Drosophila melanogaster: one gene and its partners. The protein of the gene in region 2 purifies or fractionates together with the protein of the main gene of each other region. This does not show direct contact. Each region holds a gene or a part of one and is shown on either strand. Other genes may lie near its edges.

Region 1 (4,960 bases), 2.5 Mb from region 2:
ATAGATTAGAAATAGTCAAATCTATGTACATATTATCACAAAAATAAATTTCAAAAATGAATTTATATAAGAATATTTGTCATTAGAGTATTCATCTTGCGGCGTGTGAAAAATTAATAAGGCAATGATTGTTGAGTGCTTGTGTCCGCACTTCGTGCCTCAAGATATGAACAAAGCAAAGACACTAGAATAATTCTATTGTCTTTGATATTACTTTTGCAATTTAATTTAATTGCATATTTAATTATTTAGTATATTTATTAAATCATTTGACTTAATATGATGTAACATTAACATTAAAAGTGTTTCAAAAAAAATATTTCGGTTTTAAAAAATTGTCAGATGAGAGACAAATTAGAATTAAACATAAATACAAATGTGTAAACGGTAGCTAATTCGAGCGGCGATTTTAACAAAGAAATTTAAAAAAGCTTTAAAATTATAATAGCCAGGGCGCGAATTTTTAAAAATTTTTTATTTTATCATATTGCTAGGAAATTGGCAAAAACTACCCTAATATGTACCATGTAAATTCGTTTCTTCGATCAGAATTGATTTCGGCCCGAAAATCGTCTTCTAGCACAACACGCACACTTATACGCGTTCTCGTCTCTTGTTTTTACTCACACAAGCAAGCAAATTATATTTTTAGATTTCTTACGCTCTAAGCGGGAGTGAGCGGAAAGAGAGTAATTTTGGCCGTCACCAAAAAAGTGGCTGCATAGTGCCAAACCAATGTATGGCCGTTACGCATCTTGTTATTCTAGTGTCTTTGGTACAGCCTAGTATAGTATGGTAAATGCAATTTATTTTTATTTAGAATATATGAGTGTTGTATATGTAGATAAAAATGTTAAGCAAGTTAGTAAGGGCACCTAGGCACTCCTCCGGGGTTTGTGAATCCGTTGGTGTTGACCAACCTGCAGATGTCCTTGTATGACCGCGCCGATTTTGCAGGCCTTTCTGGCTGTGGCTGGGAATAACCTCTGTTGTAATAGTCAGGATAGAACTGGAACCAAGAAGGCCTGTGGTAGTTGTAGTCGGGAAAAAATTCTTTAAGCACAGAGCTGCTGCAGAATCTGCTTAGCCCCAGAATCCACAGCAGAATGTATATAATCGACTTGCGCATGGCCACTTCGCCTGAGCTTAAGATTTGGAATAAAGCCGTACCCGATTCTCATTGTATACGCCTGGCGCACTTATGAAGCTTGTGCGACCTCGCACACAGTGGGAAAGTAATTGGAATCTGAAATCTATGCGTGATTGTCGGAATAGCTGATAGCGGGAGTGTTCGCGTGCCCCAGCTCAATGCTATCGTTATCTACAAACCATTCGGCCTTTAAATTGATGTATGATGAAAGTTTATTCAATGTGTGGTTTTTGACGTTTAATAAGAAAAATTCGATTTTGAGAAATGCATTTAAAATGCAATTTTTATTTATCGCAGTGAAGAATAAAATAATATATTTTTTCATTATATTTGTTACCAATTTAACAAAAATATTATGTAGTTGCTTTTTTAAAAGTCTTTCGGGTCAATAAGAAAAAAAAAGCTTACAAACAGAGTATTATGTTCTAAGGAATAGGACCTAAAAACCCTCATTACCTAATTGGTGTTTCAAAAACAGGTTTATGTGGTGCAAAAGGACAAATTTTGCTAACAAAAAAAAAAAAACACTTTTTTAAAAAAACTAACTTACAGGCGCCTAAAAAAAATTATAATCGATTTGTCATCGATTTTTTGGTCTTTAAAGTACTATAGCGGCGCATTATATACTAACCAAAACGAGTTGGCAGCACTCGTGATGTTTTGATTGAAAAAACAAATTAGTTTATTGTTTTTATCTGTTGTCGCCAAAAATATTATTTAAATCAATATGAGCACCGCCGTAGAAGTGGCTAACACGGCTCCGGAGAAGTTGGCCAACTACTTTGCGCTACAGTCGGCGTTTGAGGTAAAACGTTGATGAATGGCCCCGAAACCGGCAATGTTCCGATCTGATAGAAAATAATAATTTTCAGAAAGCCCTTGAATTGGCCATCACCGACGGCAAAGTGGAGCTGTTGGTCAAGGAGTACAATAGATTCCCGGCCAACACCGAGCACGACAAGCGCTTACCCATGGACCACGCGTTCCGCGTGCTCCTGATGAAGCGGCTGGACGAAGATGTGAGTCGCATTGGAGAGCTTGTACGCCTCTCCGTGGAAGCCACGCGGGCCGAGATTGTGTCCAACACCATACCCGTGGTTCTGCTGATCGACACCTTCGACGTGGTCACTCTGGACAAGTGCCAGAAGATATTTCAGTTTGTCGAGGATATGGTGGAGGTGTGGAAGGAGGAGATCTTCTTTTCCTCATGCAAGAACAACATTCTACGCATGTGCAACGACCTGCTGCGTCGACTTTCGCGCACCCAGAACACCGTCTTCTGTGGCCGCATCCAGCTTTTCCTCTCAAAGTTCTTTCCCTTTTCGGAGCGGTCTGGCCTCAACATCGTCTCCGAATTCAACCTGGACAACTTTACGGAGTACGGTCTGGACAGCAAAGACCACGACGAAAGCGACAACAAGGAGCTGGAGGATACCGCTGAGGACATCCCCCTAAAGATCGACTACGACCTGTACTGCAAGTTTTGGTCGCTGCAGGACTTTTTCCGAAATCCCAACCAGTGTTACAATAAGCCGCAGTGGAAGATGTTCCAGATGGTAAGCAGTGGCTTGGCACAATTACAATTGTAGAATATATATATATCTTGGAAAGAGATCAAAGATGTTTGCCAGCTAGCTTGCTCATAAATATTGGTTATTAATAATCCTGCCCCATGTTGGTTCATATTCATATATTGTTACTTTCCCCTTCCAGCACGCTGACAACATACTACAGTCCTTCTCGAGCTTCAAGCTGGAAGACGTGCGCCAAAGTAGCAACGAAAATGCGAGCGGTACTGACCAAGCAATGGATGTGGACGAGGAGGCAGTAGACACCACGGCGGTGTCTTCCGTCATCAAGGCGAATCACTTCTTCGCCAAGTTTCTAACCAATCCCAAGCTTTTGGCTCTGCAGCTCTCCGACGCTAATTTTCGACGTGCTGTTCTGGTGCAGTTTCTAATTCTATTTCAGTACCTGCAAGTCAGTGTAAAGTTTAAAAGGTTCGAATATGAAGAAAGTCCAGGGAAAACGAACAAACTTTAATGATTGTACTTTCAGTGATACTCAAACCTTGACTGCAGACCAGGCGGACTTTATCAAGGAAACAGAGTCGCGTGTTTATAAGTTGCTAGAGGAGACACCACCGTACGGTAAGCGGTTTTCACGGACAGTGTATCACATGCTGGCCCGCGAAGAGATGTGGAACAACTGGAAGAACGAAGGCTGCAAGGAATTCAAGAAGCCCGAGGAACCAACTCTCAGCGAAGAGGACTCGAAGCCAACTCCCAATAAAAGACCGCGCCGTCCATTGGGCGATGCACTGCGCGATGCTTCCCGCAGCGGCAAGTTTTATTTGGGAAAGTAAGTATCGAACGTAAGTCAAACTAAGCCAGTTCTAAAATATTTCACTTCCAGTGACAACCTAACACGTTTGTGGAACTACTCTCCAGATAACTTGCAGGCCTGCAAAAGTGAACAGCGAAACTTCCTACCGCTGCTGGAGACATATTTAGAAACGCCGCACGAAAAGGTTGATCCCGCTTTTGAGTGGCGAGCTCTGCGCTTGCTTGCCCGCCAAACACCGCACTTCTTTACGTCGCTCTCTCAGCCATCGAGCAAGATCTCCGATTATCTTGAGCAAGTGCGCAAACGTCTCATCCGGGACAAAGAGCCCAAACCTGCTGCCCTTTTATCGAACAACTCTTCTGAGAACAATTTTGGCCTGTCGGTCAACAACGTTCATACGGAGGGCGAGCAGGATGCTACGGTCGCCCTTCAGGACGGTGAACCAGAGCAGGATCTTGAAGTAGAGGACAACGAACCTGTGGTGGAAGAGGTGGATGAGGTACCGGCGCACGAGAAACCCCTTATGGTTACCAAAGAGCATATCGAAGAGGTGGCGCCCCTTATAGGCGAGCCATGGATGAAGGTGGGAAAGAAGATTGGCTTCACCAACGATGAACTTCTCTTCTTTCAAATGGAGCATCCTACGGCGAACGTGGCCTGCGTTAAGATGCTGACAAACTGGATATCCGATGACGACGACGCCACCCTGGAAAACTGGGCGTACATGCTAGAGGGATTGGAGATGAATAAGGCCGCCGAAGCGGTGAAGGCGATTATTGAGCGCGAAAAATCTGGATCCACTGCCGCCTTCTGCCTCCGGTAACGACGATGAGGTGCTCTCTGATTAGCATCATCCCCATGCCGATCCCACCCTAGTTATTATAATTTCGTTTCAATCATAAAACTTCTTTATCACAAGTAAAAGAATGGGCGAATATCTATTCCCAATCACCACTCAACGCCTCTTGGCCGGCGGACCGTTACGGGGCTTGTTGTGCACCATGTTAACGCACTTGGGGATATGACGCTCCGCAGCCTGTTCGTTGAATCGGCGACCACAGTGGGGACACTGGACATAGTCTGGATTCTCCGAAGGTGGCGGTGGTGGCAGGTCGCTCAACTTGCCGCCGCGCGCCAAGTGCGCCTTCACCTGCTTGGCCGCTCTAATCGACTGAATGAAGTCCTCGTGCTTCTTACGCCAGTTGTTCTTCTTCACTCCAGTGGTCAGACCCTTCTGCTGGGCAGCACTACTGTAAGTTGAACGGTTGCGATTGCCCTTCGACTTCATATTGAACGCCGCGGCCTCGGTGCCCTCGATCCGCTGCTTGGAGGCATCGAATATCTTGCGTTTGGTGGTCAGCATGCGCTGGCACACCTCCTCGTGCTTCGCCAGACGATCCGTGTTGAAGTGGCGTCCGCAGTAGCGGCATAAAGCGGTGCCCTCTGGGATTGCAGTCGTTGTGT
Region 2 (3,273 bases):
AGTAAGAGCCCACCCACTCCCACTCGCGCCAGCTCCACAAAACTTGACCTTATGGCTCTCCAGTTTAGCTGCCTAATATGGTCGTAGCGACCATGCACGCCAGCCAACATCTTTCCGGGATTGAGCCCTCGAAAAGCTGACACTGATTAATAGCTTAAGAAGCAGGAAGCCATTGCCGTAAAGCTAGCTACATGCATTGGGTCAGCATTCGCATCCGCCAGCGTCGTTATTTGCATGATAAAAGCAAAGTGCTTGCAACGTTCAGCTGCGCCGATTGAGCAGCTCCTGGAGCAGCAGGGCGCATCAGCTGGGTCCGGCAAAGCCATAAAAGCGAGCCAGAGATGATAAAACCGAAATGGCTGCCACGAACACGTCCGCCGGCGAAGCCCTGCAATTGATAACCTAGAATGCTCGCTCGGCTAGCAACGTGACCCAGTTAACACGAAAGTGCATCATCGACGGTCAGGTACGTCGATAAAGTCACACTCGAAAAGGTAATTGGAAAGCAAACAGGGTGGTCTTTACCATCAGATGCGCCTTAAACTAGGTTACTTTATTCCGAAAAGCCATATATCTTAACGTTGCCAGCGTCACGTCGCCGATCGTTGTCCTTCTCATCGCAGGCGTAGGCCAGCAGGTACTGCTTCGGATGCCAGGCCACCGTGAACGTGGAGGCGTCCACGTGAATGTCGGTTACCCGCTCGCCCGTCTCCGTGAAGGCAATGTCGATAATGAGGTCCTCGCTGGCCAAGGCAATCATTCGCTCGTCGTGGCTAAACGATATGGTGCGGACGGGCCACTCCAGGCGGCTGATCATGCGCAGGCAGGCCAGCTCGTTGGCATCCCACAAGGAGACTTGTGCGTCCGCCGAGCCAGTGGCAAAGTATTTACCTGGAAACGAAAGAGGCATATTTAGATATGATATGAGATTGCAATGGCTGCCTACCCGTGGGTCCGAACTCAATGCAAATGCAGTTGGCGGGATGGGCCTTCAGGGTCATCTGGTGCTCGAGACTGGGATAGCTGAGGATATGCATGCAGCCGAGTCCGTTGGTTAGGAAGAACAGGTCGTTGGTGTTGTTCCACGATATCTCGTTGACCTCGAAGCTGAACGGCTCCTCCACGCGAATCTTGTTCGTGCGTGTGTCTATAAAGGTGATCAGATCCTCCTTGTTGCCCACGGCGATCGTTTTGCCATCGGGCGACCAGGCAATGTTGATATTCTCCCCCTTGGTGTTCGTCACCGATACGCATTTTCCAACTCGTATGTCCCAGATGCGCACGGTCTTGTCTCCGCTTGCGGTGGCAAACTGGTCGGGATTGGTGCGATGCCAACACAGCTGGTCCACGGACGCAGTGTGTCCCCGGTATGTGTTGCCCTTCAAGAAGCGGTCCCGCTCCAGCGAGTAGACGACCACCGTCTTGTCGAAGCTTCCGGAGGCCAGGTAACGACCATCGGCATTCCAGCAGACCGAGTGAACCTGTGGGCAGGCGGGAATTCATTGGTTGCCCAATAAATGTGGCCATCGTGCTCACCTTAGACATGTGCGACCGCTGCTCGCGGATTTTGCTGTGACTCCGCAAATACGACTTCAGGTCTTCCAATGTCTGCTCCGTGCGACTCATTGTTAAATGTTTATTTATATTTCAACCGGCTTTTTCTTAAAAGATCTAAACAACAATGTGACTGTAGCCCACTAACCAAATTATACTAACTGCCCGATTTGCATTAGCAAGGACTCACACCAATATATCGATTCCTGGCTTAGCGGCTAATTCAAATATTCTTACAATCTCTGAGGTAACGTTTTCAAACGAGTTTCTGCCAACATTCAAGCTCATATCTTTTGTTGTTAATTACGCTATTGTTTGCGCTGCAAACATTTAAACAAGCAGAGAGAGAGAGAGAGAGAGAGAGAGAGAGAGAGTTTAATGTCAACAAAACTTTATTGTATCGCTGCAGCAAAACAAACATTAAATGAGGAAAACAAATAAATAAGAATTACAAGCCTAGATTGTGGCAGTGCACTATTGAAGTCTGTGGTTTCGCGGCGGCTCGCGCACATTCCGATCGCTCTTGTCGTGGATATGCACATTCTCCGCTAGCTCCACGTTGGCATGCAAGGCCGCGTCATTGGCATTCAAGTGCGCCTCCTGGGCGGACAAGGTAGCCTTCTCCGCCGCATCGCGCGTTTCCTCGTAGTCCAGTCGAGCTGCATAAGCCTGCGATTCGGCGTGCTCCAGCTTGGTCTTGGCCTGGGCCACCATATCAATTTGCGAAGCTAGCTCGGCCGCCGCCTCCGATGCTGCCTTTTGTGCCAACTCCGAGGCGGATTGGGCATTGTTAAGTGCGGCAGTTAGGACACTGACATGGTTGATGGCCTGCTGGGCGGCATATTGGGCTGCCTTGGCGGATCTCTTGGCCTGCTGCAGTTGGGTCAGCTCGTTCTCCATGGCCTTGTGGGCCTCCACGCTCTGATCCTCCAGCCGATGGAGCAGCACCTCTTTGCCCTTGAGCACGGCCACAGCTGTGCCGGCTGCTTGTGCTGCCGCCTGAGCCAGAGTACTTTTGGCCACATAGGATGCCTGTTTGCCTGCCGCATTTTGGCTGGCCACTGCGGACAGGGCCTGATCCGCTGAACCCTTCGCTATGCTGCGCAATCCATTGTCGGCCAGGTAGCCACCGCTTCCTCCTCCACCGCCTCCGCGGTGGGAGTGCACTATGTAATCGGAGGAGCCTTCGAAGTGGGAGAGCTTCACCTTGGCCGGTTCGAATTCGTCGTGGTTAATCGCCTCGTAGGTGTATGGCGGCACCTCGTGCTCGATCACCGCCGTTTGCTGGGGCACTGGACCCGGTCCATGGGGCGATGGCGGCGGTGGTGGCGGCGGCACATTGACGTGATGGTGATAGTGTGGCTCCTTCCGTTTGATCTTGCGACCCTGCGTCGGCATGGCCACTAAATCAAAGTCCCAATTTAGCCACATTTGCATGAGGAAGTCATGTGCGACTCACCCAAAAACAGCGCCAGGAGCAGCAGGTGCAGCAGCGATGGCATCTCTGGCGATTATGCAATGGAGCAGCTGGCGAAAGGAAGTCGCACAACCGGAAGACTCGTGATCACCGCAGGCGCAAGCTTTTGGGTTCCTCTGTCGCACGCCGAGTGCTGAAAGAAAACAAATTTCCGTTTTTAATTGGGGAAAAGTTTCTTCATTGTTTTTCACGTATGTATATGCTTTTCAGTTTAGTTAGCTAGTTAGTTGTTGATTGCATCT
Region 3 (4,680 bases), on a different chromosome or scaffold from region 2:
AGCCCGAGGACCTGGATAGAGCCTACGAGGTTCTGAGGACCACGCTACCAAAGCTGTTCGTGGAGCCCCTAGACTACTCCATTTACAGCCCGGGCCTAATCTTCCACAACAACATAACGGGCAAGCACACGGTGGGCCTGTACCACTACGTCAAACAGATCGCCATCCTGCGAACGGTTGGCCACCTGAAGTACGCCTACGTGAAATTCGAGGTGCTCAAGATCACGAAGCACCAGGACGACTACACAGTGCGGATAAGGTGGCGAGTGCGCGGCATTTCCGGCCTGAAGGTCATGTTCCAGTTCTGGAAGTACAAGCTCTGGCAACTGAAGGAGGTGCTGAAGGATCAGGAGGCCTGGTACGACGGCTACTCTGTCTGCTATCTGGGCGACGATGGGCTGATCGTCAAGCACGTCGTGGACAAAGTGATGCCGGACGAGAGTCGGGAGGCGGTTGAGAACCCTTCTGCGACGGCACTACCTCCCGGATCCTTGGCAGCGACCTCTTCCCAGAAGATCAACTGCCAATGAAGTCGTAGCTAGCTAGCTTTAAATGTTACTTATTTATTGTATTACTAATCGTAATAAACGCAACTGTGAGAACGTTTAGTAACCGCATTGGCGCATTGTGTTGTACAACATTCGTTATTCAACTGTCACTGCTTGAACGCGTAGACCGATCCCTTCTTGATGTATTTGTAGGGGCGTGAGCGGCTCCGCTTGGCGAAGGCGCTTATGTAAGGCTTCTCCTTGTTGTACTCAATGGTGTTTTGCATGGATCCCTCGGTTTCGAGGAATATATCGAAGCTGTAGATGGTGCGGAAGAGCTGCGCGTACAGGATGCAGTCGTTGGGCTCCAAATGTTTGGGCTGCAGGGAGTTGGTCCAGAACTCCATCATCTGAGGAATACAAGTTTAAAAGCTAATTGGAGGATAATACCTGAATAAGTTCAAACCTTGATCGCCGAATTGTTTTGCGCGGTAAGGCATCCGTTCCAGTGCACATTCAGAATCCATAGAGGCATTTCCAGTGGATAGTTACTCGGTATTCTAATAAAGCACTCCATTTTGGCCGATCCCCGGACGATGACAGCGCGGTAAGAGTTGTACGTAATACCCTTGTCCGCTGACGAAGAATTCAGTGCGTCTGAAATTTGCGAGTGAAGCTCCTCATGTGTGATGGCAGTCCATTGGACGAGACTGCACGACAGGCCGGCTGGATAGATGTTCTCCTGCAAGCTATACAAATCGATATCCTTGAAGGTCAGCCCGCGAATCTGCTGGCTTAAACGCTGCCAAGAGTTCAAGCGCCTGGCAATGCGGTCAATAATCTCCTTGTTGTTCTTATTCAAGTTCAGTTCGTGTTTGTACAGCATCGAACTGTTGACGGTTGCAATCGAGCACATACTTTGCAGCCAACAGAAGGGTTTTCCGTAGTCCTTGGCCTTGAGGTAGCGCACACATTCCTCGGCTGTTAAATCCGAGCTTCGTAGCTGAAAGAGCGTAATTTAATTGGTTGTCCAACGTTGGATAAGGAAGTTCTTACCTCGTATTGGATTCCCGGAATGGGTAATTCATTGCCCAAGTCATTGGGGTACAAATGCCGCAATAGGTGGTGAACAAAGTTTGTGTCACTGTGAAAAAATGCCTAGTTATTTATGCGATTTTTTCCTAGGTGTGTTCCAAACTTACCCCTGGCCGTTGGCATTCCTGGAGCAGTTAAGTTGGCCCCAGACAGTGGCACACTTGATAAAATCAAAGTAGCGAATCTGCAAAACGAGCTGATTCGATCCAGCCGCTCCAATCTTTAAAGTTTAGGTTAATAAATGTTTTGGAATGAGCAAACCATGTCATCCTACCGTCAAACAAATGTGTAGTGGGTGAGGAGCGAGTGAGTCGTCCAAGTTGTTTTTATCGGCAATCTTTTCCCGGTCTCCACTTTCCTTTTTAGTCTGTCTGTAGTTCAATGTGGAGCACTTTTTCTCCTTAAGCAACTCCTGCATTTGAGCCTCGCTCTCATAGCCAACCACCTCGGCGGTGAAGGACTGCTCCTCGCTGACCCGCTGCAGCGATTGCAGGACAATGAACAAAACGTAGAGCGGCTTGGGCAGGTACTTGACCACTGCGCTTAGCTTCCATTCCACGTCCAGGGATAGCTGGAGTGCATCGTGCAGCGGCTTTGTGGCGCTCTGCAGAGTGCGCAAGGCGGGTGCGAAGGAGACGTACCGCTGGGCGTGGCTAAGATTGTCCTGGAGCAGTTCCTGCTTGGAGCTCAGCAGGGCGCTGTACTGCTTGTCGAGTGCCTTCCGCAGACGCAGCTCGCAGTCGAGGCGATGAAGGTGCTGCTTGTGGCTGGACAGCTCCTCCGCGTCGTTGGGCATGTCTGGCAGCTCGCTGGAGTACTCGGCTTCCGAGAGCAGCTCCAAGCTGGTGTCCCTGCTCTTGAACTTCTGGCAGCGCACAATCTCCTTCTTCAGGTGGCTCACTTCGTACAGAAGATTCTGCAGCTGCAGCCGGCTGAGGTCCACCTTGCACTTTTCCAGGTGCAGCTTGTCGCGCCCCGCTTTGATCTTGTGCTTCACCTCGCGGTTGGCGTGCTTCAGAGCCACGAACATCAAGGTGGTGGCAATGCGAGCCTCATCCGTCGATTGCCCCTGCTCGTGACGGATGTGGACGGATTTAGAGCTGTACTCTGGCACGGAAATCGGACTTACCTTGCTCTTCGCCTCCTTAATTCCCTCTATGGCCTTTTGCAGCTGATCGAACTGCGTGTTCAATATTGTTTCCATTTTATTTGGCGAAATTGTAAATCAGAAGCCGCAAAAGTTGTTTTTATTAACAAAACTGATATAATGTGGCCAGGCTATCGAGTCGATAACATTCGCCGGTACTTTTCAAAATGATTTTAGTATATGCGCATACCCCACTGCTGCGGTCACACTTGGTAGCGGCTTTGTAAATATAGTTAAAAAACAAAATATATCCTTTAATATTTGCTGTAAGCTTAAGTTAATCTCTCCAAACTTGAAATAACACAATGCTGCGATTGCTCCAGAAGAGAACCAATCTCATAAAGCTAGTAGTACCCGGCCCCCGACTTCACCAGACGATTGCGCAAACAGCGATAAAGGTTGCATTAATATCCCACTGATTACATATAAAAATATGTTTTTATTTATAAAGTAATATTTGTTAATGCCGCACCTTTCAGGAAATCCCAGTGATAAAGCCCATCAGCACTCCGAAAAGCGACAAGACCGTCGGAAGATGGTTCCTGGGAGTCAGCGGCATGGTCTTCGTGGCCGTTGGTCTAGGTAACCAATAACAAAATGTAAAGTTTGTAGTTCCTTGCGAAAGTGAATCTCTTCCAGGCGGAGTAACCCGACTGACAGAGTCCGGACTGTCCATGGTCACTTGGAAGCTGACGGGTGAACGTATGCCCCGAACCCAGGAGGAATGGGTGCAGGAGTTCAATCTCTACCAGCAATACCCAGAGTACAAGCTGTGAGTACTCCCCAGATTCATCCAACGCCAGGAACTACATGCAAACTTCTGCTTTCAGAAAGAATGTGAATATGACCGTGGAGGAGTTCAAGTTCATTTTCATGATGGAGTACATGCACAGGATGTGGGGTCGTGCCATCGGCGGGTTCTTCCTTTTGCCCGCTGTTTACTTCTGGAGAAAGGGATACTTCTGTGCGAAGACCAAGAAGAGCGTCCTGCTGCTGGGCACACTGATTGGCCTGCAAGGTCTGATGGGATGGTACATGGTCAAGTCCGGGCTGGAAGACAGGTTCCAGGATCCCAACGACGTGCCACGGGTATCCCAGTATAGATTGGCCTCCCACCTGGCAGCTGCCTTCGTCCTGTACTCACTCTCCCTGTCAAAGGCCATGTCCCTGCTCATCCCCACGAACACATTCGTGATCCAAGCCAAGAAAGCATTTAATATCAAGGGGCTGACGCATTTGACGAAGGCAATGGTCCTGCTGACTGCCATTTCTGGAGCCTTTGTAGCCGGACTAGACGCCGGACTCGTGTACAACTCGTTCCCGAAGATGGGCGACAAGTGGATTCCCGATGACATGTGGACGTTTGCGCCCATACAGAAGAACATCACCGAGAATCCGACGACGGTGCAGTTCAATCACCGCATCCTTGGTATTAGCACAGTAACGCTGACCACCGCTCTGTGGCTGGTCACCAGAAGGATGCAGTTGCCCAAGCGCGCCAACTGGGCCATCAACGCCGTGGTGGCTATGGCCTGGACGCAGGCCACGCTTGGCGTAACCACCTTGCTTAACTACGTGCCCGTGCCTCTGGCAACGGCCCACCAGTCGGGCTCGCTTATTCTGCTGAGTTTCGCATTGTGGCTGTCGCACGAGGTTCGACTGTTGAAGTACCTTCCGAAGTAAATAAATAGGCGTTTATTTGTTGAACCAAAAATTTAATATCCTCGCCTTGATAATAACAACTATGAGTGGGGCAAATGTAATAGCAACAACCGTTTATTCATTCCTATTCAATATTCATTTTCACACTGCTTTTATCCTCCTGCAACTCCTTGTACTCAACACTCTTTGCGTTCAGGCAGGCGCCCACACCCTTCACGTTTTCCGATGACTTGGTGGCCTGGTTAGAGTTGGAAACGTGGTTGTACACCGCCAGGGCCTGGGCCACGA

What was found. The genes of interacting proteins can lie anywhere in the genome.
Region 1: the proteins of tex (region 2) and Hpr1 purify together in Drosophila melanogaster (affinity purification with mass spectrometry, with the first as the bait; one large-scale study listed by BioGRID). This does not show direct contact.
Region 3: the proteins of tex (region 2) and thoc5 purify together in Drosophila melanogaster (affinity purification with mass spectrometry, with the first as the bait; one large-scale study listed by BioGRID). This does not show direct contact.

The regions. Positions count from the first base shown.
Region 1 is NT_033777.3:5,818,250-5,823,209, reverse strand, and holds Hpr1 (Hpr1), read left to right. Parts: upstream 1-1,769; 5' UTR 1,770-1,877; coding exon 1,878-1,955; intron 1,956-2,022; coding exon 2,023-2,706; intron 2,707-2,863; coding exon 2,864-3,150; intron 3,151-3,208; coding exon 3,209-3,511; intron 3,512-3,565; coding exon 3,566-4,319; 3' UTR 4,320-4,416; downstream 4,417-4,960. Other genes in the region: CG46303 (uncharacterized protein), read right to left, coding at 863-1,129; CG42675 (uncharacterized protein), read right to left, coding at 4,452-4,960.
Region 2 is NT_033777.3:8,306,950-8,310,222, forward strand, and holds tex (tex), read right to left. Parts: upstream 1,697-3,273; 5' UTR 1,627-1,696; coding exon 1,537-1,626; exon of another isoform or gene 1,482-1,536; coding exon 947-1,481; intron 892-946; coding exon 554-891; 3' UTR 524-553; downstream 1-523. Other genes in the region: CG11693 (uncharacterized protein), read right to left, coding at 2,029-2,957, 3,014-3,056.
Region 3 is NT_033778.4:23,952,271-23,956,950, reverse strand, and holds thoc5 (thoc5), read right to left. Parts: upstream 2,861-4,680; 5' UTR 2,788-2,860; coding exon 2,713-2,787; intron 2,653-2,712; coding exon 1,858-2,652; intron 1,804-1,857; coding exon 1,691-1,803; intron 1,633-1,690; coding exon 1,545-1,632; intron 1,492-1,544; coding exon 955-1,491; intron 899-954; coding exon 656-898; 3' UTR 545-655; downstream 1-544. Other genes in the region: CG16787 (uncharacterized protein), read left to right, coding at 1-530; CG3803 (uncharacterized protein), read left to right, coding at 3,036-3,128, 3,210-3,312, 3,370-3,502, 3,561-4,413; Stoml2 (stomatin like 2), read right to left, coding at 4,517-4,680. UniProt on the Drosophila melanogaster protein: The THO complex is required for cell proliferation and for proper export of heat-shock mRNAs under heat stress.